7 linked regions of the Ovis aries genome follow. The protein of the gene in region 1 interacts with the protein of each later gene in a pairwise test. Links are inferred from orthologs where the notes say so. Each region holds a gene or a part of one and is shown in the gene's direction. Other genes may lie near its edges. The genes, in order: CDC5L, GSE1, KALRN, WWC1, PDE4DIP, ZNF451 and KANSL1.

Region 1 (4,248 bases):
TTCGTCCCTTCCAGGACTAGCTCCAAAGAGATGTTTTTGAATGGAGAAGGAAACCAAGTGAGTTGGAATCTCAGTTTGGCAATCCCTATCTCAGTGGGTTTTTGGCCTCAACTAATTTGCCCTTCAGGGCCCTTCAGATTTATGAGGTATAAATTGTTAACTTCACTTTCCAAATCAGGATACTGAGATTCAGTATGATTATTACTCAAGCTGATGAGGGAGCCAAGATTTCAACCCCGATCAAGTTTGCTTAATACTAGCACCTATCAACAGTAGCTCTCTGCTATTAATATTAAGCCATGTAGACTGAAGTGCAATAAATGGAAAACTCTGACATGACTGTTTCTGGGACAATCTCTGATCACTTGAGCTTGCGCTTCTCGTAGTAACAGTTGCCATTTTTGTGAGCACTTCTTAGGTATCAGATACTACGATGGATTTACGATCTCATTTAACCCTTGTTAGTTGCTCAGTCCGGAGAAGGCAATGGTACCCCACTCCAGTACTCTTGCCTGGAAAATCCCATGGATGGAGGAGCGTGGTGGGCTGCAGTCCATGGGGTCGCTAAGAGTCGTACACCACTGAGCGACTTCATTTTCACTTTTCACCTTCATGCACTGGAGAAGGAAATGGCAACTCACTCCAGTATTCTTGCCTGGAGAATCCCAGTGACGGGGGAGCCTGGCGGGCTGCCGTCTATGGGGTCGCACAGAGTCGGACACGACTGAAGCGACTTAGCAGTAGCAGCAGCAATTGCTCAGTCGTCTGCCACTCTGAGACCCCATGGACTATACCCCGCCAGGCTCCTCTGTCTACGGAATTCTCCAGGCAAGAATACTGGAGTGGGTGGCCATTTCCTTCTCCAGAGGATCTTTTCCATTCAGAGATCGAAGCCGGGTTTCCCGAATTGCAGGCAGATTCTTTTACCACCTGAGCCTCCAGGGAAACCCCTATTCAATCCTTAGGAAAACCCTATGAAGTTGGCACTATTATTGTCTCTATTTTGCAGGTTAGGAAATTTAGGCTTAAATAAGCTATTGCCTCTCCCTGAATATTTTTTGAATAAATTCTTGTTCGTTAAATGCTTAATAAAGTGCTAAGTTAATAAATTATCAACGCTATTTTTAGACCAGCCGAGGTTAAACCCTACAGGAGTGACGTTCCTATTCTTTGCCACAACGTGACGTCACGACCAATCCCAGGACTACATTCCCAGCCAAGAGCCTCCGCCGACATCTCGCGAAAGCCGCGGTTTCTTCCAACCTATTTTGGGCATGCGCGCGGCTTCGAGTACCTTGGCTAGAGTGGTTTGATGATTTTCCGTCAGTCTCCCTAGAGTAGAGTTTTACCATCGAGGCACTTATTTCCTTCCAGTCACTCCAGTTCTCGCGAGACTTGCTACTCCTGCTCTTTCCCCACCCCGCCCCCGCGCTTGCGCAGAGCTCTTCAAAGCAGAAGGTCGCGCTTGGAGGAAGTGGCGGCTTTGGGTCCCGTGGCCGCCGCGCCGTTACTACTTCTCGGAAGCTCCGCTCGGCCGCTTGCCGAGACACCCCGCCGCCAAGATGCCTCGAATTATGATTAAGGGGGGCGTGTGGAGGAATACCGAGGTAAGTCCCCTTTTCCCGCCGTCTGCCCTCCGCCCCTCCGGCTGCGGGTGCGCACGCGCGCAGAGGTCCGGGAGGTGGAGAGGATGCCTTCGGGGTCTGCGTGGGGGGTGGTGCGGGGCCTTTACCCTGTGCCTGGACCTCAGTTATCTGAGCATCTCAAGGACAGGGACCGTGATTTAACCGCTTGATTACCTGCGGGGCACTCGTTAGGCCCTCAGTGAACATTTGTTGAGCTGACGCGTCCTCCGCCGTGGTGGAACTCACAGTAGGAGGGGGACACAGGACAATTGCGATAGTCGGTCTTCTAAGCCCCGCCCCCCGCACCCCACCGTTCCTCATCCCAGGCTCCGCGACTCTTTGCTGTTGAAAAATGAAGAGGTGCTGTGGCCACAACTTTGTTCTTTCCTTGAGTTCCTTGCTGAGGGGAAGCAGTTTGAGTGCCAGGTCCTAAGTACCTGGTTGTGTCCGCGTCCCCGCGGTCATGTTACCACGGCGTAACTTGTCCGCCCTCCGGTCACCCAAGGCCTGTCTCTTCCGCTTCATGTTGGGTAGAAGCCAGATAGGCCTACCATAGTCTCTTTGCTTCCAGAAATGTAGTGGATCGTGCCATTGGTGAACCAAAGAACAGTAGAAGAGTAAAATAGAAACAAGGTTTTAGTGCAGTTTCTGTTTATAGTGCCCTGAACTTGTCAGTTTCCCCAGAACACTCTGTCTTTTTACATCTTGCACCTTCTTGAAATATCCTCCTACTGCTTGGCATCTTTCTGACCTTCCTTCAAAAACAGTTCAGAAACTCTTCTGAAATTGGTCCAGAAGACCCATCCATTTGCCTGGTCATCCGGTAAAAAGTATTTGCACCTGCAATGGTCCCTGGACACCTCTTCTCATCCATTTGTTATGGTTTGCTTTTTTTTTTTTTTTGCAAGCATCACATCCTGTTTGATGCTGGGATTATTAACCTCTCAGAGACTCAGGTTTCTAATGGGGATGATAATAATATACTTATCTCTCGGAATTAAATGAGTCACTGCATTTGGAATATTTAGAACAGAGTCTGGCACATAGTAATCTTTCAGAAAGTACTACCTGCTGTTTCTTTTCCCCAGTAGACAGCACTGCAAGTGCGCAGGATCAGATCTTGCTATCTTTAGAACTCCGGACAGTGCCAAACAAAGTTTGCTTGGGAAATTTTGCTGAATGGATCTAGTAGGGTGTATAACTGTAGTATATACTTAGTTGAAGATGTGATTAAGTATAGCAGTACTGCAACAAAGTTACAAATTAAGTCAGTGAGAACCTTGCCTCTCAGCTTGCACAGAGGGGACCAGGCTGTTTCAGTTGGAGAAGAGATGACTTCTGAGGGAGAGACAGATGTACCAAATCAAGTAACAGCAGGATTCTGATGCTGTGGCCAAAGCCCTGCAGTCCTTGAGTCTCAGATGTTAGGGGTGTGGAGTGGCGAGGAGTGGCTAACATATGAGGCATATAGCTCAAGTTCATTGTGGGGAAAAAACCCTAAAAGTAAAATGCCCTGAGTGCATTCATCTATGGCTCTGATATCCCTGGTGTCTTTGGTTTAGCCTGACAGGCTCCCTTGGGATTGGTGAATTCTTTATTGGAATGGGTGCCCTGGTGAAATAGTATCTAGAGACTGGGGGGAAATTAGAGGCAGAGTTGATTGGTGACTTAGGGGAGACGTACTCAATTCTTAGGTTAGACCTGAGATATGGATTCTTAGGTGAGAGTGGGGGCTGTGGGACTGGAGAGAAAATGCTGTTCATAAACTGGGAAGCCTCAATTGGAAATTGGATTCACTTGAGTCTTGACTTTTTGAGGGCTGGATGTGTCCTGTTTTATCTTGTTTTCTCAAGTATTGATATACAAGACCTGATACAAGGCTGGTGTTTGGGCAGTATTTTTTGTGAATCAGTAAATCAATGAGCCATAATCTTTTTAAGAGACTAACAACCACACATTGGAGAATTCTTTTTAAAATCTCTGTCAAGTGGGGTTTCTCACATTGGGCTGTACCCACTCAATTTTTGGATGGGATTGGGGGAGGGGTTGTGTGTAAGGGAGGGTAGGATATCCTTCTAAGGGAGTTCTTAATTTCTTTCATTTTGTTGATTCTGGGTTGCTGTTTTTTTTTAAATTTTTATTATTGTAATGAAGTTTTATACTTTTGTTTTAAATTTAGGATATACGTGCGTGTTTATATCTCTTTCTCCCTAGTACAACCCAGTTAGAGTTAATTTAAATCTTGTCTTTTCTCACTTGGAGTTTTGTGAATGAATACATTGTTTTTCCTTTGAAAAAATTTAGGATGAAATTCTGAAAGCAGCGGTGATGAAATATGGGAAAAACCAGTGGTCTAGGATTGCCTCACTGCTGCATAGAAAGTCAGCAAAGCAGTGCAAAGCCAGATGGTATGTATCAGCTAATGAGTGGAAAACACAAAATGACCTTCATTATGATGAGGAAAATGTCATTTCTTTGAACCTTACCAAAGAAAAGCAGGCACTGTGATGTAACAGAAAGTAGGGAGTGGGAGTTGGGAATTTCAGTGTGAGAATTAGCTGTCTTTTGCTTCGTAAGTGGTCTTAGGCAAGCCATTTTCTGTCCCCTCTCTCCTGCCATTGTT
Region 2 (2,935 bases), on another chromosome or scaffold:
GTGATGTTGAGCATCTCTTCAGCCATCTGTATGTCTTCTTTGGAAAAATATCTATCTAGATGTTCACCCAGATGGTGAAGTGGTGGTCCAGTGGTTAAGAATCCACTTTCCAGTGAGGAAAGTGTGGGTTCAATCCCTAGTCAGGGAACCCAAGATTAAGAAAAATAAGCGGGGGGGATCTGCACCCATTTTTTGATTAGGTTGGTTTTTAAAAATATTGAGCTACATGAGCTGTTTGTATATCTTGGAGATTAAATTCCTTATTGGTTGCATCTTTTATAAATACTTTCTCCTATACTATGGGTTGTCTTCTTGTTTTATGGTTTCCTTTGCCATGCAAAAGCCTTTAATTCGGTCCCACCGTTTGTTTTTGTTTTCAGTATTTTAGGAGGTGGATCAAAAAAGAGCTTGTTGCAATTTATGTCAAAGATTCTTCTGCCTCTGTTTTTCTCTAAGGGCTTTTTATAATAACCAGCCTTACATTTAGGTCTTTATCCATTTTGAATGTGCCTTTGTGTGTGGCGTTAGTGCTCTGTTTCATTCTTTTATATACAGTTGTCTAGTTTCCTCAGCACCACTTATTGAAGAGACTGTTAAAACAGATTTATTCCTGAAGATGTGAAGCTCAGTATCTTTCGGAAAGGCAGAGGTTTTACTTGTTAAAATGATAAATTTCTAACAGTTTTTGTGTCTAAGCCTTTTATCTTTCTTGAAAAATGCATCTTAAGGCTGTAAGTTGTTGCTGTTTCCTAAGCTGCGTCCCTTAAATTGCCTTTCAATGCTGTGTCCTCGGTCTTTATTCCCCTGGGTCGGGTTACTTTAGTAACATCTAGTCACCAGCACGATCTATAGGGAGGGAGCCATGTGGTCCAAATGATAGAGCTTTGACCAGCTGCTCTGGAGAGAAGAGGCCACGCGCCGGGCCTGGGGCCCTGGGTACAGAAGACGTCACCCTGGCTTGTCTTTTCAGAGCAAGATCTGGAGCGGCAGGTGCTGCAGGCGCAGTGCAGGCGGCTGGAGGCGCAGCATTACAGTCTCAGCCTCACGGCCGAGCAGCTCTCCCACAGCATGGCGGTGAGTCTCAGGGATCGTACTGGCTCCGTGGGGGCTTTCTTGACCCCACAGTGGTTATTCTCATTCAGCCTTTCGAGTCTGGGTTCAGGAGCACCCATACAGACAAGTTTTGAAGGGAAGTTGTGCTCTTGAGAGGGGCTAAATTCAGCAGTCACCTGAGGAGGGAGTGTCATCTGTTCGCAGAACATGGGTCTGGAAGGGTCGGGGGCGGGTGTACTGCCCGTATCAGCCTTCCCCCGTGCCGCGCTCAGGAGGATGGAGGGAGGGGGCCGAGCTCTTGGGACAGGACGGACCCCACACACACACACAGCCGTGACAGCGAGAGCCCTGCCATCTTCCGCTGTTGTGTGTTTGGGGCTTGGACACCTTGGCCACTCCCGACGCAGCAGAAGCTTGGCAGTGCCAGGGCCGACGCTGCGAGAGTGGCAGGTGCTGCCACTGGGAGATGCTGGGGGCAGCTAGAGCGCATCCCACAGCCTTCCTAACTGTGTGAACTGCGGGTCTGACACCAGTCTCCCTCCAGGAGCTGAGGAGCCAGAAGCAGAAGATCGTTTCAGAACGGGAGCGGCTCCAGGCGGAACTGGACCACTTACGGAAGTGCCTTGCGTTGCCTGCAATGCATTGGCCTAGAGGCTACTTCAAGGGTTTCCCGAGGTGACGGTTTCCCTTGCACTAGGCCGAACCTATAGTATAGAAATATTATCTATTTTATTACCTTGAATATTTAATATTTTTCACTGGGAGGTTTGACGCTTAAAAAAAAAAAAAAAAAAAAGAGAGAATGTGCCATGCATGAAGCAAAGGATTCCAGGCTCCAGAAAAAAAGAACGAACTCGCCTTGACTTCAGTGCAGTTGGATCACCTTTGTAACTCAGCAAGCAACCCGTTTAAGACGCCCATAGTTTCTTCCCTTTTAAAGGCGGTTTTTCCCTTCCCCACGTCGTCATGCTTTAGTCTCAAGATGAAGGCTCCATTACCAACACTAAGCTGTGCCCATCTCCCAGCCCCTGGGTGCATGAGGCGGAGCGGGCCACCGGTGTGCGTGTCGTGTGCTGCCAGGCCCTGTGGCCTCAGGAACCCGGGCTGCTCTGGCCGTGGGGTGGCCGGTCTCGCTCCTCCCCAGGATGGAGACCCGCTCCAGCAGAAGGAAGGTGGGGTGCATTCTAAGTAAAGGGCTTATTTGTTTCAGTTATTTTTCTGCAAAGTTTTCCTGAAAGCAACAGGTCCTAGGAGCACACAAAGCAACAGTACTGAAGCCTCACCCAAAGGCTTTTCCCCAGAAAAGCTCTTACCTAAAGTGAATCGACAGACTGAAGGTACCTTGTTATTCCTTCGTGGGGGAAAATGTCCAGAGCTCTATGTACATTTATCCACACCCACCCGATTGTTACTGCAGGGGGGGCGGGGGTGTTTTCATACAAATGTCAATTTTGAGAGAAAAGTCAAAGGTGCTTCAGCCTTGTACTGTGTATATATATTAAAAAACAAAGTTTTGTATGTTTTTATTACTTTAATTATTGTTATAAAAAGCCTGCCATTTTTAATATGTGGTTTGGGGGGATTTTTTGTTGTTTGTTTTCTTGTTTGGGGGTTTTTTGTTTTGTTTTTCTGGGCAAAAAAAAAAAAAAACAACCCTTGCTTTTAGTGTTTGTACTGCTGCTGGTCAGGACATTATTGAAGTGTTTTTAAAAATTAAAGAAGAAGAAAAGTAAAAAGAGCTTACCACTGGCGCCTACGCGAGCACTTCATTCTTGAGTTGCACCGGAGTGAGGTAGAAAGCCATGGTTCCTCCTTCCCTCTCCCCCGGGCCCTCCCCGGCTCCCCAGGCCAGCGAGGCGCTGCTGGTCTCCAGCAGGAACCA
Region 3 (4,103 bases), on another chromosome or scaffold:
GCAACAACAGCCTCCAACACACCACATTAAGTACTCAGGTCTAAAGAGCCTCTGTTTTGTAAGCTTTGCAGTCACTAGGACTATAAACAGAATACTGGCTAATTATTGTTTAATTATTGCTTAAAAACCAATTGGCACAATACAATCACTGCATTAATTACCCCATACAGCATCTGTTTTCTTTTTTGAGGTCTTCCCCATTCCTCTCCTGTCCCTCTCCCCACTTTAATTGAAATTCAGCTTGCTGTAACACCTCCTTTCTCCTGGCCAACTGGATCTCTCCATTCACACGAGGCAGAAGAACAAAACAGAGAAGGCCTCGGGGATTAGGGAGTTTGACAGCTGTCCAAGAGGAGCGTTGAGACACTGGCCAAGTACCGAGGCAGGACAGAGACAAATGGGAGACAGAAGAGGGTCACGGAGGGAAAGATAGGCAGGGGCACATCGCGAGAGAAATGAACTGGACAAAGAGTCACCGAGACAGGCAGAGGTGTTTACAGGGGCGCTGAAAAGAGGGGGGAAGGAAGAGAAAAGCTTTAAAAAAAAAAAACCAAACACCAAAAAACCAGAGGAACTAAGGAGAGTTGGTGAGGAAAATGCGAAAGGCTCAGGAGGTCAAGGAGACAGAAGGGAGCTTGTCGAGAAGGAGCGGGGAAAAGTCCAGCCTCTAGAGACAGATCAGCCCATCTTGGGGGACAGGCAGCTTGAGGGGGGTCGCGGCTCATACACCTGAGAACGGGGTGGGGTGGAGGAGGCGGCCGCCGCCGGGCGGGAGTAGGAACAGCGCTAGCGGCGAGGCTGAGCACGCGGGGCTCAGGCGTCCGAGCCCCCTCGGCAAGCCCGGCGTGCGCCCGGCGGCCCAGGACGCGCCCGGCGGCCCCGCCCCCTCCCCGGCCGCCTCCTTCGCCGGGGCTTTTCCTGCGGGGCTCAGGAAGCCGGCCTAGCACAGCCGCGAACAATAGCTCGGGGCCCGGGCTTGGCTCCTTGGAGAGGCCGGCGCGGGGAGGCGGGGGGAGGGAGGCGTCCGCGCCGCCGGGGGCCCGCGGCGAACCCCGGCCCGGGCCGAAGCTTCAGTTGAGCTCGGCGCTGCCCCGGGCATTGTTGGCCGCGACTGAGGAGCGGGAGCCGGGGGAGGAGCTGCGAGGCGGCGGCGGCTGAGGGAGCCAGAGGGGGAGCCAGAGAGCGAGCGAGGGAGGGAGGCTGAGAGCGTGCGGGCGATAGAGCGAGGGAGGGAGGAGGTAGAGAGACAGGGAGGGTGGGAGGGAGGAGGAAAAATAAAGAGGAGAGCCGAGCAGGGCTGAACAATAGAGACAGGCGGACGGGCGAGAAGGAGAGCCAGCTGCCGCTGCTGAGGGAGAGCGGGCGCCCAAGCAGCTCGGACCCCGGCCCGGGCAGACCGCAGGCGGCCAGCGCCCCCCGGGGAAGGGGGACCATGGGGGAGCCCGCGGCAGGCGCCCCCAGCCCGCCGTGCGCCTCCGCCTGAGGGAGCCTCGGCGTCCTCTGCCCCAGCCCAGCCGCCCCGGCCGGCCGCCCTCGAAGCCCGGTGTCCGCAGCCCAGCGCCCGCCGCCCACAGAGCAGCGCTCGGCCCCGGGCTTGGCCGCCCCCCGGCTGCCCGTGGACGCCCTCCCCCAGTCATGAACCCCCCGGAGGGGGCAGCGGAGGAAGGAGGAGCCGCCGACTCGGACGTGGACGCCTTTTTCCGGACAGGTAAGCTGGGCAGCTGGGGAGCTTGGGGGGGTGGGGCGGGTGGGGGGCTGCTGCCCTGGACGCGGCTTCTCGGACAAGTTTGGGGAACGAGACTGTTGCTGGGGCGGGCGTGTTGGGGGGTGCTGTCCCCCTCGTCGTCCGGGCCGGAGTTGCCGAGATTCTTGTTGTTATGGCAGTGCTGGTTGCGTTTTGGAGAGGGGTGGGGGCTGGGAGCTTGGCGCCCCTCGGCGTTCACCCCACTTGCGGGAGTCTGTGTGGGGAGGCGGGAGGCGGTCCCGGTGGGCCGCCTTCTCCCCGAGCGCGGGGATGGGGCGAGGTTGGATCACTTTGCAGCGCGCCGCTCTCGCTCCCGGCGCCCCCGCCCCTCCCTCGGCTCCCCCTCCCCCTAGCGCCTGTCAGCCTGGCTCTGGCCGCCCCGCGCCCGCACCCCTGCTCCGGGCCACGGGCCCCGGGCCCTGATATGCAAAGAAGGACCGGGAGTCGCGCAGGCTGCAGCCTGACAGTCAGGAGCGGGGCGGACGGTGGACCGCGGAGCCTGATGTGTGTGAGGAGCCGGGCGTCTCAGACTTAAGAGGCGGACTTGGCTGGGAAGGCGGTGGGCGCCTAGGACCTCGTCCTTGTCCTCCTCTTCTTCAGTGATGGGAACGCAGGAGCTTTTGATAAAAATCACTCATTCTGGACGTGTGAGTTAGCGTCCCCCTCATACACACCCACTGAATCTTTGCTTGCCTGTGGTATGTAGAGCTCCCCCGCCAGACCTGCTTTCACGGTTGTTCTTTGCCCCCGCCACCACCCAGTCCTGGGTCTGAGTCGCAGGTTCCTTGCCTGCACAGCCCTTTTCCCAGAGCAGATGCCGACCACTCTCCTCTCCCACCACCTGTGGCCCTGTTTCTCTGATAACCAGGGTTTCTCCATCTCCTCTTTACCTGTGGCTTCCACCAACTCAGTAGGTAGAGCTCCCCATCTTCCATATCTGGAACCATTTTGTCTGGAATCTTTGTCCCAAAGAGTCCAGTAAGTTATGGGGACCCCCTCTTTCTGTAAATTGGGTTAAAGCGCGTGAACTGGTGGGGTCAGGGAACAGGTTAGCTCTGGAGGCTCCCTGCACACCCATCTGTTTCCTAACCTCATTGCCCTGCCCTGGAGGTCATCTGAGGGGAAGGGGTGGGGTGCTTTGTTGGGGAGACTTGTGGCTTTAGAAGTCAAGAGTTGGTCGACCCATATGTTCATTTTCTAGTTGGTCTGAAGAGTAAAGAGGTGGAGGACAGGAGCTGATGCCAGAGCCTGGAGAAAACAGGAGCCCCTGTTATCCTACCCTGCTTCTCAGGGCTCAGCCTTGTCTCCTTGTTCCTTTTAACCAGTCGTGGTTTCTAATATACACTGCCGCCTGGCCCGTCCCCCTCCCCCCACCCTTACACTCACATATGCACTGCCCAGGAACCAAGGCACGAATTCTAAAAACGTGCCTGACCTGAGTTTATAACCTTAGATTATAGTCTAGGAGAGAGGTTCTGGGGGTTAAGGCCTATCTGGAAACATTCACCAGGACGTCTTCCCTGACTCCCCCACCTGGCCCCACTCCTGTCTCTCATCTGGCACAAAAGTCTGCCTTTCCTTAGTTCTGGGGAAAACTCCTGAAGTATGAGCTTTCCGACCTTCCCTTTCTGGACCTACTTTTATCTTTTGGCATCCATTCCTCCTTCCCATTTTCTACCATCCAAACAGTAGTTCCTATCCGTTCTCCTCCCAGGCACTTGGAGCAGATCTCAAGTTTCTGGAGGCTTGCTAATTTCTGACAAATGAATTCACACAGTGTTAATGGTGTTAATGACCTATAATGGTCCAATGTGTTACTTTTCCCAGGGCCTTTCAAAATACAACATGGGGCTTACATTGTCTAGCTCTGGCTAAAATCACAGAGTAAATAACTGACTGGGGACTGTCTCCTGTGGAATCCTGCTGGGGGTATTCTTCTTCCTTCTTGGGCAGCCTTATGGTGGGGGTGGGGGCTAGGTTTGATGTGCTCTTCAAATCAGAGAAGGGTGAAATCTACAACAGATAAGGCTGGAAATGACTGACAATGTGTAACAAGTTGTAAGAGGGGAGGCAGGCTATCTGTGGTAGGGTCTAGGACCACCATCCACCTGAGTGGCCCTCTGTGCTCTGCTTTCTGATCTTACTCCCTTCCAATCTCTAGCCTGGGGATTCTTAAACCTGTAAAAGACCATATTTCTTAACTGTCTCCTTTCTGATCCCCCAATCTTTATGGAATATAGTGCTCTACACCTGGTAGGTTGGACAGATTATAAATTTATTTAGTCGAACCACTGAGAAAGCTTCAAACACATTTTCAAAGTCCCTGGGGCCAGGGTTACCCCCTGCTTTCTGGTGGAAA
Region 4 (3,500 bases), on another chromosome or scaffold:
TAATGACAGCCAAGGTTTATTAGAAAAATTTTCATCTGTAACAGCAACCACATGATAAATTATAATGGTCAGTATTTATTGGGGTGCATTGATGTGGTGGGAAATGCACTTGATATGGTGAAATAGACTCCTTCTATTATACCTATTTCACAGATGGGGAGACAGAGGCTCAGAGAGGTGCTATTACTTGCCAACATGTGGGGAAGGGGGGACTGGAATCTGGGTTTTTCTGACCCCAGTGCCCAACCTCTTTATCACCACGCTCCCCTTAGGACATGAGGCAGCTCTGTGTATTTATTCCTAAGATACCCCTGACACTCGCTGACCCCATCTCGCATATGGTATGAAAGTCAGGACTGAGCAGGATGATTTACTGAGTTCAGGTGTACAGTACAGGCACTGTTGCACATATTGATTCATGTATACCTCAAAACGACACTATGAGGTGGGTGTTGATTTTATCCTCATCTTACAGACTGAAAGGTGTGAGACTCAGGTTAAGTGACTTGTCTGAGGTCAGTGTCACTGCGGTAAGGCAGGAGAGTCAGGACTGGGCTCAGGACCACCTAGTCAGCAAAGGTCTCCTGCCTCTGACCCCCATGAAGCCAGCCAGAAGCTCAACCCCTCTCAGCTCCAGGAATAGGGGCGGGGGCAGCTGCAGCACCCAGAAATATCAGTTCCTTCGTATACAAGGGCCACTGGGAGCAAGGGAGAAGCAACACGATTTCCTGGTTAATTAAGGGCTCTGCTGGGTGCATGCCAGCCACTTCCTTAGAAGAGCCGGGAGATCCCTGGGGCTCCCTCATCAGGAAGGCAGTCTTGCCGAGTCCTCTCAAACAAAAATAAAAACAGGCTTCCTACTGCAGCAGGTGGAAAGCTTCAGAAAATTGTTCCCTGGAGAGAAGGGGGTGCAGGCAGAACCTCTAATGAGGCTCAAGAAGGGTTCCCAGTGCTCCCTGTCTAAGGGCTGTGATCAGCTGGATCAGGGATGCTGGGACTCCAGTGGGGTGTGGGGAGTGAACCCTCCCCTACCCCTACCCCCACCCTACCCCACCCCCACCCTACAGCGTCAGTGCAGCTTGGGAGCCAGGGACCGCTCACTTCCCAGGCCAGCATTTCTTCATGCCATCTCCAGAAGCCTTGCCAGGCTGAGCTCAGACGCTAAGCAGGTTATGCGATTAGTGCCACTGTTCAGTCAGCAGACAAATTAATCTCCTTAAGTGGTTTCGTGGAGGGTGGAGCGGGGTGGGTCTGAAGGCAGGAGGGCTCCAGGGCTGCAGATGTGGGATGCAGTCTGGGAAAGCCACACCCAGATGGCCCCTTGGCCTCTGCCAAGCTCACGGTCACCATCCCCTAGCCCAGCCAGTGCACCCCTACCCCCACCCATGTGCCTGGCACACAGCAGGTGCTCAGAAGTGCTGGCCCTGAGGTTGGAACCCCTGAATCTGTCCTCCTTGTGCTGCGTGGAGGTCAGGAGCTGTCCTATTCATCTTGGCAGCTCTGAATTTGGCAGTGGCCCTGGCACACTGTCAGCACCGATTACTTGGGGAGGGAAGGAATGTGCAGCGTGTGCTGAGTCTGAGTCCCGGGTCAGAGACTTCAGAGGGCCTCTGTCAAGGGCAGGAGAGATGAGCTGACTTAGGAGTGCGGTGGGATAGGCAAGTAGGAGAGCCAGTGCTTGAGTCCTTCTTCCCCTTCTTGTCCTCCCGCAAGGGCCCAGGCTCTGTGGTATTGTCCCAAGTGTGTAGGAGGTGATCTGGAAGGCATCACTATAGTGATGGGAATGGTAGTCATAGTAACTAAGGATAGCAGTATGGGTTTCTAGGGCACTTCCCCTGCCCCAGTCTCTATACTAAGGATTTGCCTATGTCATCTCCTTGTGTCCTCCCAACAAAGTAGGTGGTGTTATCCCCATTTTACAGATAGGGAATGCAGGGCTTAGAGGGAATAAGTCAGCATCCCAGTGTCACAAAGCAGTGTGTGATTTGAACCCCAGTGGTTTGCCTGTGGAGTCTGAGATGTTAGACACAGACTCCTCTGCCACCTTTTCCTTCACCCCAAAACATGCAGGACCTTGCTGTAAAGGTCAGAGGTAGTAGGATTTTGGTGGGACCATCTTAAAACAACAGGGGATCCACAGTACCTGTTGGGATGACAGTATCCTGATTTCTGAAGCCCGCCTCTTCCCCCCGTCTCTTCCTCCAGCTGTGAATACGGCTCAGGGGTGTGGCCTGAAAGTGGCCTGTGTCTCTGCTGCTGTGTCAGATGAATCCGTGGCCGGGGACAGTGGTGTGTATGAGGCTTCCGTGCAGAGGTGGGTCCCTGAGTCCCGGGCCCCCTCCAGCGTATGGGAGGAACTCACAGGAGGGTGGGGGCCTAGAGATACTTCATGTCTGGGAGACTGCTGATTTCCCCGAGTGCCGTCAAGGGGTGTGTGGCCAGGGAGCAAGTACTGGGGAAAGAGCAGCCCCCTTGAGAGAGGGATCTAAAGTCTTTGTGGGCAGGGTCCACAGGGAGGCTCAGCAGACCCAAACCTTCCTCCTCGAGAATGCTGCTCCCTCCCAGAGAGAACCCTGTCTCTGGAAAATGACTTTGGCCCCAGGTCACTGCAGACCAGCCTGACCCTCTCTGTCTTCCCTGTGTTGCCTTCCAGGCTGGGTGTCTCGGAAGCCGCTGCTTTCGACAGTGATGAATCAGAAGCAGTGGGTGCCACCCGGGTTCAGATCGCCCTGAAGTAAGTGGCAGGGAGGGCGGGGCAGAGGGGTGTGGTCTGCACTGGGTCCCCTCCTCCCCCTTCTGCAGTGTGTCCAGCATTTACCCTCCTCCAGAACCAGCAGGCCCCACTGACAGCTGTGGGCTCCTAACTAAAGGTGGGGGTCTCTTTCTATGCCTCCCAGCTCCCTATTTCACAAAAGAGAAAAAAACAGGGTTTGAAGACTGTACCTTGCTCGGTGTCACTGAGCTGGGCAGGGGCCCAGCCGGGCAGGGACCGAGACCGCCTGCCTCTTGGTGTGTTTGGTCATCATCGTTACTACAGCTTTTTTGTTATCATCTCATCTGGACTGAAGTCAACCCCTCGGGGGCTACAGCCTAGATTTCCTGTTGTTGCTCATCTCTTGATGGGGAATGGTCTTGATTATTTTTAAATAGGATTTCATTGCCTACATTTAGCTCTCAGGAAATTTTACACAACCTCTGGCTTCCCTTTAAAAAATCAGACTGACAGCTCTGGACCTGTGTCCCTGCAAGGTGGCAAACACTGGGTCAGTGATCTCCAGCTCACCACGGTCCCAGAGCCGTCAGCAGCTCCGTCCGTGATGATTAAGGGAGAGAGAAATAAATGTGTTACCAACAGGTGCTCTGTATGCCCCCTTTTCATTTCAGGTATGATGAGAAGAATAAGCAGTTTGCAATATTCATCATCCAGCTGAGCAACCTTTCTGCTTTGTTGCTGCAGCAAGACCAGAAAGTGTGAGTGTGTAGCTGATGGACTGTGTATC
Region 5 (3,500 bases), on another chromosome or scaffold:
GAAAGGTCCAGGGAAAACTGAAGAATGCCCGTAATATCATCAGCCTCCTCAAAGAACAGCTGGTGCTGAGCAGCAAGGAAGGGACTAGTAAGCTTAATCCTGAGCTCCTTGTGCACCTGGCCCAGGAGATCAACAGAATGAACACAGAGCTGGCTCACTCTCCTGGAAAGCGCCAATGCCTAGAAGGGGAGGGTGTGACCACAAGGCCGTGCCCCAGACCCCGGAGCCTTGACCTTGGGGCTGCCCTCACAGTGGATGCTCACCAAGTAAGTGTGGGGTTAGATGAAAAGCCCTTGGATAAAGGCTGGCAATGTCCGTTTTTACCTTAAACTGTTCTGCCCCGTGGGTCAGGAGGTACCATAGGAAGGGCACCTTTGCACCACAAGTAGTGGTAATAATGTTCCTCTAACATCCAGCCTTTAGAAAGGTTTCTTCTACAATATTATCTCATGAATATTACATGAGTAATTAACTTTCATAAATATTTGAATGCTTAATTTTCCAGGCAAGACACTAGGCACTGGAAACAGCCAATAAGACTTCATCTCTGCCCTTCAGATATTCAGCATGGTGGGAAAAGATGGCACAAAACCAGATCATTTCCATAGGATGCAATATAGAGCTACACGGGGCTTTAAGGCAGCCAGTCAGTGGTGTGTAATGACATCTCTTACCTATCACTGCTGTGTACTTCACAGCTCAGCACAGGGGTCTGCTCCTGAGCCTCAGAGGAACTGTCAGGATTCTCTAAGGGGAGGGGGCTGAGCTGCTACTGCTGCTGCTGCTAAGTCGCTTCAGTTGTGTCCAACTCTTTGCGACCCCAGAGACGGCAGCCCACCAGGCTCCCCCGTCCCTGGGATCCTCCAGGCAAGAACACTAGACTGGGTTGCCATTTCCTTCTCCAGTGCATGAAAGTGAAAAGTGAAAGTGAAGTCGGCTCAGTCCTGTCCTACTCTTCATGACCCCATGGACTGCAGCCTACCAGGCTCCTCTGCCCATGGGATTTTCCCGGCAGGAGTACTGGAGTGGGGTGCCATTGCCTGCTGGGGATTAAGTAAAATGGATAGAAGAGGACCGAGAGAACAACTGGGTAGGAATGCAGGGAGAGATGAGTGGAGGTTTCCACCCCTTCTCTTTTCAACCACGAACAAACATTTGCTGAGGGTTCCTCACAGACTCAGGTGGCACTGTGCTGTGTGCTGTAGCAACAGAGATAAATAAAACATCACCCCAGCTCTCCAGGTGCTCAGTCTGGAAAGCAAGTAGCTGCCAAGTGGAATGAGGAGTGTTACGACAGACACACGGATGAAGTACACAGAGTTCGCAAGGCGAAGTGGCTGCCACTGCCTGGGGAGGAGCTCAGATGGCCCTGACTCTGTGCTGGCTCTTTTCACAGCTGGATAACCAGCCCCAGACCCATGACCCTGGGCCACAGTCAGAATTTCGCCTCTCGGGATCCACGAAGCACCTGCGCTCCCAGTTGGCACAATGCAAACAACGCTATCAGGATCTCCAGGAGAAGCTGCTGATATCAGAAGCCACTGTCTTTGCCCAGGCCAACCAGCTGGAGAAATACAGAGTCATGTTTAGTAAGTCTTAAGTTCACCACCACCTGTCTTCTCCCTGAGAAGCTCATGCTTTGCAGACTTCACTCTTCTTTCCCAGTCTCATGGCCAATTTAATCCTGACTATGACCTTAGCATTGTGGAAGTGGATTGTTGTTGTTACCTAGTCGCTAAATCGTGTCCAACTCTTTTACAACCCCATGGATTGTAGCCTGCCAGGCTTTTCTGTGCTTGGGATTTCCCAGGCAAGGATACTGGAGTGTGTTGCCATTTCCTTCTCCAGGGGATCTCCCTGACCCAGGGCTCGAATCCACATCTCCTTTGGCAGGTGGATTCTTCACTGAGCCACCAGGGAAGCCCATGGAAGTGGATACTCAACTTCAATCTGCAGATGGCAGAAACAAATGAATGAATAAAGCAAGTTTGCAGTGACAGCATAGGGAGGGAATGAGCTAACGTCTAGCTTCACTGATTTCTGGTACAGTCAACAGACCGCCTTACCGCTCTCAACATATGTTGATTGTTTCTCTTCTGCTCCTCTTTGCACCACAGTAGACTCTTCAAAAATGTACCATTGTTGTTGGTCTAGAATCAGTGCTTTCTCGTAGAACTTCTGCAGTGACATAAATGTTCTGTATCTACGTCACATGTGGTTATGGAGAACATGAAATGTAGCTAATTCAATTTGGGGATTTAAAGTTTTATTTAATTTTTATCAGTTTAACATAAAACAGTCACGTTTATAACACTTACAGAACAGTGCAGATCTTGGTGTCTTTGAAACTGAGTTAGTTCTGCTCCATTCAAACATTTCCTGAGCCCCCATGAACAAAGCATTTGCTAATTTCCCTGGGGCGTGTAGAGTTGATAGTATGCAGTGTCTGACTTAAACATGTCTGGTCCCAGGGAAGCCCAGGTTATCTGTAGGTAAGCTCACCAATGGGGAACAAGCTCACCTGGTTGAGAGAGGTCCTGCTGCCTGGAGCAGGTGTTTCTTCTCCCACCTCAGTCCAAAGAAGCATCTATCCCACTCTGGGTCTGACCTCCCCAAGGGCCAGGGTGCGTGCTGCTGAGGATGAGAGTGTATGTGGGAAATTTAGATCCTCTGTAGCACGCCCTGTCTGTTCCCAAGCAGGTGGATCATCAGTGAAGCAGGACAGCAAGCAGGTGCAGGTGGACCTCCAGGACCTGGGCTATGAGACCTGTGGCCGAAGTGAGAACGAGGCTGAGCGGGAGGAGAGCACCAGCCCTGGTGAGAGCTTGGGTGTGGGGCTGGCCCTCCCCCACTAAGGGCAGCCTTCACATTTGGGTACTGCTGGCCAATCCCACATCTGATGAGGAGCAGGGCTGAGGGGTGCAGTAGGCTGAAGGGGACACAGGACAGAGGGGGACAGAAAGTTTGGAGAACTCATGCCCAAAATGAGGCTGAGTGTGAGTTTGAATTTCTACAATTAGTTTTCAACATGCTACCTGTTTAAAAAACAATTTCAGTGTGAACTTTAAAAAAAAAGTTCTATCCAACTGATTATTTTAGAAAAAATACTGTGTGTGTGATAGTTGCTCAGTTGTATCTGACTCTGTGACCTCATGGACTGCAGCCTGCCAGGCTCCTCTGTCCATGGAATTCTCCAGGCAAGAATACTGGAGCGGGTTGCCATTCCCTTCTCAAGAGGATCTTCCCAACCCAGGGATCAAACCCAGTCTCCTGCATTGCAGGCAGATTCTTTACCATCTGAACCACCAGAAAAAAAAAAAAAAACTAAACTAAAGTCTATTTATTAATGAGAAGATCAAATGAGCTTTGAGTGAGTCAGTGAAAGTTGCTCAGTCATGTTCAACTCTTTGAGACCCCATGGACTATACAGTCCATGGAATTTTCTAGGCCAGAATACTAGAAAGGGTAGCCTTTTCCTTCTCCAGGGGATCTTCCCAACC
Region 6 (3,500 bases), about 15 Mb from region 1:
TTGCCCATGGTAGTAGATATAATGGTCATCATATGATGGTCATCTAGCTACAGGCCTGCCTTTAAGCCTGTCTAGTCTTTGGGTATTCCTTTCTCACTGAGCTCAATCATTGCCAGCTTTTGGTTTAATTTGAGAAACTGAGACCCTTCATTTCACTAGAACACTTAGAGGCCACTGTGGGGTTATTAATGGGCCTTCAATATTGTGTCTCAAGGAGTAGGGTGCCCAGGAGGGCAGAAAGGCAGCAAAGGGCAAGTTGGCGGAGCGATCAGAATGTACAGAACATTTATTAGTTAAGTTTGCTGTCTTGTATGGGCATGGTTTGTGGTGCACCCAAGCGATTACAGTGGTAACATCAGTGATCACCATAACAATATAATAATGATGGAAAAGTGTGAAATACCATGGATATCATCGAAATGTGACCGCAGGTTAGCAAATGCTGTTGGATCAGCGACATTGATAAGCTCAGTCAAGGCGAAGTTGCCACGGACCTTCAGTTGGTAATAAAAGAAAACAGTACTAAAGCACAGCACAGTGGAATATGGTGCATTTGCCACGTTTGATAGGAAACCGTATACAAAGAAGAGGATTAGGATTTAAGATAGAAACCCACTGACCTGGATGAGGCTTTTAGTGAGTCCAGCTTTCCTGATTGACCACTCTTTTAATTCAGCGAGCAGCCTTAACATACTTGTAAAAAATCCACTAATGCATACATTCATGTAGAACGACACCAAAGAATTTCACACACATTACTGTGGTTCTGCTGAACGTCTCTGTGAGTCTTCTGCTTACTAGTCAGGTTTGGAGCAGTTGTCTACTTTCCTGAGGTTTCAGCAGCACCCTGTGCTGGAACTGCCTATTCTGCCTTCTACTCTGGTACTTTTTTTCTAGAAACATTTTTATCCTAGTATTTGTTTTTCCTTATAGAGTTTTTAGATATATCTGTTCTTCTGTTCTGGCTTCTTTTGTTTGACTCCTCGTTTGTGCCTGTTGTAAACAACAGTGTTGTTTATTGTTCTAAACACGACAGGGGGAAACACCAACTGGAAGCCCCCGGCCCACTGTAAGGTCTACAACTACCTGAACCGCATCGGCTGCTTCTTCCTGCATCCTCGCTGCAGCAAGAGAAAAGATGCTGCCGACTTTGCCATATGTATGCATGTGAGTCATTGCTTTATTCAGAATCTTCTGTGACTCTAGGACCCCTTTGATGAATTTTCCCACTTAAATCGTAATGACACTGTAGATTCCTTTCTAGTGCTGTGTCTTTGGTATAAAACCTTTTGCATCAAGTTCTACTTAAGACTGTTGGGAGCAGGAACGTGTAGCACGTGTTTACTGCTTCATCCCCAGTCTAGCCAGCTCTCGGCTGTGCATGGTAGAACCGTAACTGTGTGTAGAATAGATGATCAGGCGGTGTCACTCTCTGACGCATGAGGCGCTTCCACATTTAACATCTCTGAAATGAGCAGGCCCTGTGACAGTCACTGTTGGCCCAGGTGAAATCTGCATTTGCTTCTGTCTCAGCTAGTTGCCTGGAGAAACGACCCACTTGAGACCCAGTTTAAATTAAATTTTCTGCTTAAGCTTTTCTGTGTCACACTGATAACATGAATTTACTCTGTAGACTTGTTGATTGCTGCTTATATTTTAAACCACAAGATAATTTCTTTTTCCATCTAGCCAGTTTTAAGGTTGAGCTTGCTTGCTTTACTGTGACTTTGCTTACTTTAGCCCTGTTACTACTGTTCCACCTTTATATGGGGGCCTCCTCTTTTTTTCTTTCTCTCTTAGTGGCACATTAAACAGTTTATCTTAAAATTGACAGCACTTTACATTTTTAAAATATGGTATTAATATATTTTATTTATGAATGAGATCTTTATATCATACTTTAGTGGGAGCAAGGGGACATGCGAAATACACCTTTCTAGGTAGGCGTTCATTCTGAAACAGCTGTAACTTGATTGGAAGCACAGATGCTGATTTGACGTGTGTCATTTGTTCCAACTTAGGCTGGCCGTCTAGATGAACAGCTGCCCAAGCAGATTCCTTTCACCATCCTCTCAGGAGATCAAGGTTTTCTGGAGCTAGAGAATCAGTTTAAGAAGACTCAGAGGCCAGCACATATACTCAACCCTCACCACTTAGAGGGAGATATGATGTGTGCCTTGTTAAATAGCATATCTGACACCACCAAAGGTATGCAGCTGCAGCCTCGGGGCAAACCGCCCAAAAGGAGGAGACTTCACTGCTGAGAGAAGCCAATAAACTGCTGCCCACTCTCGCCCTGCGCCTGCTTACTAAACTGCCCCGCGCTCATGCTTGTTGTGTTTCATTCCTTATCTGCTTTCATTTTGAGTGTATTAGAAGGAGGATGAATTCGTGATTTTCTGGAGCCCTTTTTCGTCTGAAGGATAAAATTTATATTCGTGTATTTAATGGTTTGAAATATGCTATTAGAGTCTTGTAAAGCTCAGAATCTGGATCTTCATTTTGTTTTGGAAATTCTAGATTTATCTTCAGTTTTTCAGAAAGCAAAGTGCTTATAGAAGAAACCAGAAAGCAGTAAATATGGCAATACCACCCCCCCCCCCCAAAAAAAAAGGCATTTAGGAGGTTGACAGTGACAGAACGAAGCCCTGAGTGATTTTTATTACCTTGAAGGACTAGGAGCCCCTGTCCTGCACTCTCTCTGCCTTTCTGAGATTGTTCAGTGAATGGGCATGCTGGTGGCCAGTTTAACTAACCAATATTTAGGAAAGGGTATAATTCTAGGGACCCAGATGGTTTTGTTTTTGTTTTTTTAATTTCTGAAGTAAATGTGGGTAGGAGAGAATAAAAGAATAGTTTTTAAATATCCTAATAAGTTGCAGCCATGAAAAGAGTTTAAAGATATTGATGAATGACTTCAATGAGAAACTGACTACTTCTTGGAATGTTTATTATTTACCTTTACATTTCCCAAGTATGCCCTCCTCTTTGCTAATTTCTTCATTTCATATATGTAGAGCCACATTTTGATTGAAGATCTGTTCTGAAGAACTTTGCTCTGGTCACTCATTGCAGTGGATAAATTCAAAGTTAGGAACCACTGAGCTGCTGGCACGCTCGTGCTCTTTAAAGGAAAGTCGACTCTATTTTGCTTATTTATGTCATATTGTAGTACTGAATGTTATCTTCCTATTCTGTAGTTTTTGTTTTCATTCACTTGCTTTTTCTGTTTGTGGCTTTTTTTTTCCTTTTCTTTCTTTAAAAAAAAATTTTTAATTAAAATTTTTATTGGCATATAGTTGATTTATAATGTTGTGTTAGTTTTCAGGTGTACAGCCAAGTGAGTCAGTTATGCATATACCTGTAAACCCTCTTTTTTAGATTCTTTTCCCATATAGGGCATTACTGAGTATTGAGTAGAATTCCCTGTGTTGGTAACTTTTTTTAACCACTTTTTCTTCCATTCTTTTATCATCCCTTCCCCGATCCTTAAAAACATC
Region 7 (3,500 bases), on another chromosome or scaffold:
TCTCTGGCTCCTGATCAGCTTTTGTAGTACCTACCACTCTCCACCCCGAAAGCAGTTTGCACGACCATCCCACACACACAGTCACATTAATACTTTAATGTTTTCATTCCTCAGAATGTGCCTCCTTGAACACATATACCTGCAAGCTGCTTTGTACCCACCAAAAGGGTCTTTTATTTAGTAATCATCCTGATAATAATGGAGGTGATAATAATAGAACGCTGCTGCTGTAAATGTTTGCTGTGTCTGTGCTAGGTACATGGTGTGTTACCGCGTTCAACCTGTAACACCCGTTAAGGTGCAGGTGGTGTAGAAGATTCCCATTTTGTTGGCAGGAAAACTGAGGCTTTCCAAGGCTAAGTGAATAGCATAAGGTGAGGAGACCTGTCAGGGTTACAGTTCGGATTCCAACCCAGCGGTCTGGCCACAGAGTCAGCTGTTTTGGGTCATGCAGCACAGAGTGAGCCTGGATTGGGGCACAGCGAAGGTGACTTAGGCAGGGGCTCTGATGCCCCTTCAGAGCTTACATGAAGAAACTTCAAAGCCAACAGAATGTGCTCACTAGGCTCTGCGATCAGGTGGGAATTCATGTCGTTCTGTCTTTGCTCTTAAAAATCAGTCTTTCCCAGATGACCTTGTTCCTCCCCCCTTCATCCCCTCCCACACCCACAGGTTTTGTCTCCATAGCAGTGTAGTCTCTGCGGTAAGCCCAGGTATCCTTTAGCAGGGATCTCAGAAAAACAAAGGATTTTACAGAGACTAATTGTGATGGAAGTCTTTTCTCAGATCCAAGACTTGGTGAAACTTAAGTGATTTTTCACATGCCGCTTTCTCATGCCTGGAAAATGTAAACTTAGGCCTGAATCACTTGAAATTTTTACTTACTATCTAATGAGCATCAATTTTGTACATACCACTGTGCTGACCCTTGAGCTCTTGTTGCCAGTTTTTTTCGAAGAATCTGGATTTATTTAATAGCAGGAAGAGTGATAGGCCAGATAGTTAAGGTGAGGAGCTACAGGACCCTGGAGAGGAGTAGGGGGGAGGGGGATGGGCTGTGTGCTCATGCTTGCTGCAGAAGCTGCATGAGCCGACGGGTGCAGCAGAATCACCTCTGTGGTCTTTTTTTCTTCTTCTTGGACTCCCTGGATATTCTGATTTGATAGTTAGAAGAGATGGGGCCCTGAACCTATTTTTTCTCTTTTAAACATCATCTTGCACCTCACCGTCTGGCAGCCAGGTTTGGAAACCACTTCTCATTCTCATCACCTACCCTCCACCTCTGGTCCTAAACAGGAGAGAACATAGGTTAGACCGAGTCAGTGTCTCCTGGAATTGGGCCATCTGCATGTGGGGTGGGGGTTGGGGCTGTTGAACCCCACAGCCCACTCCTGTCTCCCTGCCTTGAAGTTGCTGACAGCAGGCCCAAGGAGATTCAGGGAAAATACATACCTGCTGCTGCCAGCAGTTCCACACTTGTTCTTGACCACAGTCCAGGGAAAGCTGTCTATTGAGGGTCCTTTGGGTTCTGTACACTTCCTACAGTGGGGTGTGTGAGTTCAGCAGACATGTGGCAGAGGCCTGTGGTTGTGAATCCACTGAAACTCAGCCAGGCAGGGCTCACAAGTCCCTTCAGCTGTTCTGGTCAGCCAGTTACCCTGAATTCGTGAAGTCAGTGACAGTCCATTCTCATTGATAGCAGAGGAAACCGAGGTGAAAAAGACATTGTGATAACCCGAAATCACAGGTGGCAGCTGCTAAGATCCTGGCCCAGAGAATACTGCCTCTCAGCATTCTCTGAGAAGGTCTTGAAATGATCGGATGGATTGGTCATGGACCCCCTTCCAGGAACAGGAAATGGAGGGAAACAGCCTCTTCCCCCACCCCCCTTCACTGACCCCTTCCCTCTGGGCTGGCCACACTTGTTGTTTGGGTCTGAACACCCCTTACTGACCCCTCCCTCTGGGCTGGCCACTCTGGTGCTTTGGGTCTGAATGCCCCTTACTGACCCCTCCCTCTGGGCTGGCCGCACTGGTGCTTTGGGTCTGGGCTGGCCGTGCTGGTGCTTTGGGTTGAGCGCAGCCTCTGAGGTGCTGGCAGCTGTGTTGTTGCCATGGCAGCACTTTGTCATCCACTGTTTGCCTCTGGCCTCTCACAGCTCAGTTGCCAGTCTCTGTTTCAGGGCAGGGTGTTTGCTATCTGGGCACAGGCAGCCCTCAGACTTGCCCCTCCATCTAAGAAACCGTGCCCCTTGGCTCCCTGCTCAATTCCTCCTCTGGTCTCCCAGCTGCTGTTGAAGGCCCCGCCCCTGCTCCCTAATATTGGATCCTTAACTAAGTGTTCTTTCCCAGGAGTTTGATTTGAACTTCCTGTAGGAGCGAATCTCCTTTCTCCAGGAGTGTGAGCTCTACAGCCAAGGCCTCTTCATCCATTTCCCTCCATTCCTCTCCTTTGATACAGCTAGAACGCTCTCAGCTCTTTCCCTAAGAATAGTAGCCAGAAAGGGGAAATCACATAAGGGTTCAGCAGATGGTGGGCACAGATTTAGCTGGAGAGTTCAGATCTGCGAGAAGGAAGTGCTTTCATGGTAACCAAGGTTAGCAGATCCACTGAGCTCAGCCTCCCATGGGGCATCTTTCAGGATGGAAGAGTTCATCTTTTTAGTCCAGAGAGTTACCTCTAGGCTTAAGCATGCTTTTTCCACCATGGGTCTGTGTCATAGAGAGAAAAGGGGGAAACAGGAGGTTTTGGGGGGTGTTGTTAAAGATGTATGGAGGAGTCTAAACTGTGGCAGTTGTCTCAAGGCGCCAGGATACCCTCTGTGAAACTGAGTAGAGGTCTCCTTTCATGTGAGCACATGAATAAAGAGGGTGGCCAGTGAGACTTGTGAAGGGAAGGTCCTCCTCAGGCCCCACCTGCTATTTCTCCTAAGCTCATTGCTGGTGGGAGACCATCCCCACAGTGCAGGCAGTTGCTGTCATCCCTGCTTGGGTGCTCCCCAGGGACCCAGATGCCTGGTTATTGGTGATCCTGTCTTAAATCTCAGGTTTAGGATTTGATGTATGTAGAATTGTTCCTCCCTTTTAAACTTGCCTTTGTCTTACAGCAGCCAGTAAGGAGGAGAAGGGGAGAGAGCTCCTTCGATATTAACAACATTGTCATCCCAATGTCTGTCGCTGCAACCACCCGTGTAGAGAAGCTCCAGTACAAGGAAATCCTTACCCCCAGGTAGAAGCCCTGCACGACCAGCTCTGCTCTTTGGTCCCCCTGTTACTGCCATTTCCCTGTCCCTTAGTCGCTGAGTTGTGGGGCCTAGCCTTGGCTTTTGTCATTAAGAGAAGGGATCAGAGTGAAATTATTTCTATATATAATTTTCTTCATTATATGTGTGTCAGCCAGACCACAGGCCACAAACTGGCTATAGACATGTTTTGTTTGATGCATACAAATGTGTTTTAAAATACTGAATTTGTTGTCAGCATCAAAGCAAGATTCCACAT

What was found.
Region 2: the proteins of CDC5L (region 1) and GSE1 interact in a two-hybrid assay, tested with the Homo sapiens proteins (2 studies listed by BioGRID and IntAct). The link is inferred for Ovis aries from reciprocal best matches to the Homo sapiens genes CDC5L and GSE1.
Region 3: the proteins of CDC5L (region 1) and KALRN interact in a two-hybrid assay, tested with the Homo sapiens proteins (2 studies listed by BioGRID and IntAct). The link is inferred for Ovis aries from reciprocal best matches to the Homo sapiens genes CDC5L and KALRN.
Region 4: the proteins of CDC5L (region 1) and WWC1 interact in a two-hybrid assay, tested with the Homo sapiens proteins (2 studies listed by BioGRID and IntAct). The link is inferred for Ovis aries from reciprocal best matches to the Homo sapiens genes CDC5L and WWC1.
Region 5: the proteins of CDC5L (region 1) and PDE4DIP interact in a two-hybrid assay, tested with the Homo sapiens proteins (2 studies listed by BioGRID and IntAct). The link is inferred for Ovis aries from reciprocal best matches to the Homo sapiens genes CDC5L and PDE4DIP.
Region 6: the proteins of CDC5L (region 1) and ZNF451 interact in a two-hybrid assay, tested with the Homo sapiens proteins (2 studies listed by BioGRID and IntAct). The link is inferred for Ovis aries from reciprocal best matches to the Homo sapiens genes CDC5L and ZNF451.
Region 7: the proteins of CDC5L (region 1) and KANSL1 interact in binary tests that used the Homo sapiens proteins (3 or more experiments, as listed by UniProt). The link is inferred for Ovis aries from reciprocal best matches to the Homo sapiens genes CDC5L and KANSL1.

Annotation. Positions count from the first base shown.
Region 1 is NC_056073.1:17,846,706-17,850,953, forward strand, and holds the start of CDC5L (cell division cycle 5-like protein), read left to right. Parts: upstream 1-1,448; 5' UTR 1,449-1,562; coding exon 1,563-1,607; intron 1,608-3,929; coding exon 3,930-4,033; intron 4,034-4,248.
Region 2 is NC_056067.1:11,187,734-11,190,668, forward strand, and holds part of GSE1 (genetic suppressor element 1), read left to right. Parts: intron 1-970; coding exon 971-1,074; intron 1,075-1,597; coding exon 1,598-1,732; 3' UTR 1,733-2,935.
Region 3 is NC_056054.1:189,285,798-189,289,900, forward strand, and holds the start of KALRN (kalirin), read left to right. Parts: upstream 1-1,303; 5' UTR 1,304-1,635; coding exon 1,636-1,708; intron 1,709-4,103. UniProt on the Homo sapiens protein: Promotes the exchange of GDP by GTP. Activates specific Rho GTPase family members, thereby inducing various signaling mechanisms that regulate neuronal shape, growth, and plasticity, through their effects on the actin cytoskeleton.
Region 4 is NC_056058.1:78,035,658-78,039,157, forward strand, and holds part of WWC1 (protein KIBRA), read left to right. Parts: intron 1-2,205; coding exon 2,206-2,314; intron 2,315-2,653; coding exon 2,654-2,734; intron 2,735-3,384; coding exon 3,385-3,471; intron 3,472-3,500. UniProt on the Homo sapiens protein: Regulator of the Hippo signaling pathway, also known as the Salvador-Warts-Hippo (SWH) pathway.
Region 5 is NC_056054.1:97,805,843-97,809,342, forward strand, and holds part of PDE4DIP (myomegalin), read left to right. Parts: coding exon 1-266; intron 267-1,396; coding exon 1,397-1,589; intron 1,590-2,697; coding exon 2,698-2,817; intron 2,818-3,500. UniProt on the Homo sapiens protein: Functions as an anchor sequestering components of the cAMP-dependent pathway to Golgi and/or centrosomes.
Region 6 is NC_056073.1:3,223,477-3,226,976, reverse strand, and holds part of ZNF451 (E3 SUMO-protein ligase ZNF451), read left to right. Parts: intron 1-1,036; coding exon 1,037-1,167; intron 1,168-2,021; coding exon 2,022-2,208; intron 2,209-3,500. UniProt on the Homo sapiens protein: E3 SUMO-protein ligase; has a preference for SUMO2 and SUMO3 and facilitates UBE2I/UBC9-mediated sumoylation of target proteins. Plays a role in protein SUMO2 modification in response to stress caused by DNA damage and by proteasome inhibitors (in vitro).
Region 7 is NC_056064.1:45,751,585-45,755,084, reverse strand, and holds part of KANSL1 (KAT8 regulatory NSL complex subunit 1), read left to right. Parts: intron 1-3,106; coding exon 3,107-3,228; intron 3,229-3,500. UniProt on the Homo sapiens protein: Non-catalytic component of the NSL histone acetyltransferase complex, a multiprotein complex that mediates histone H4 acetylation at 'Lys-5'- and 'Lys-8' (H4K5ac and H4K8ac) at transcription start sites and promotes transcription initiation.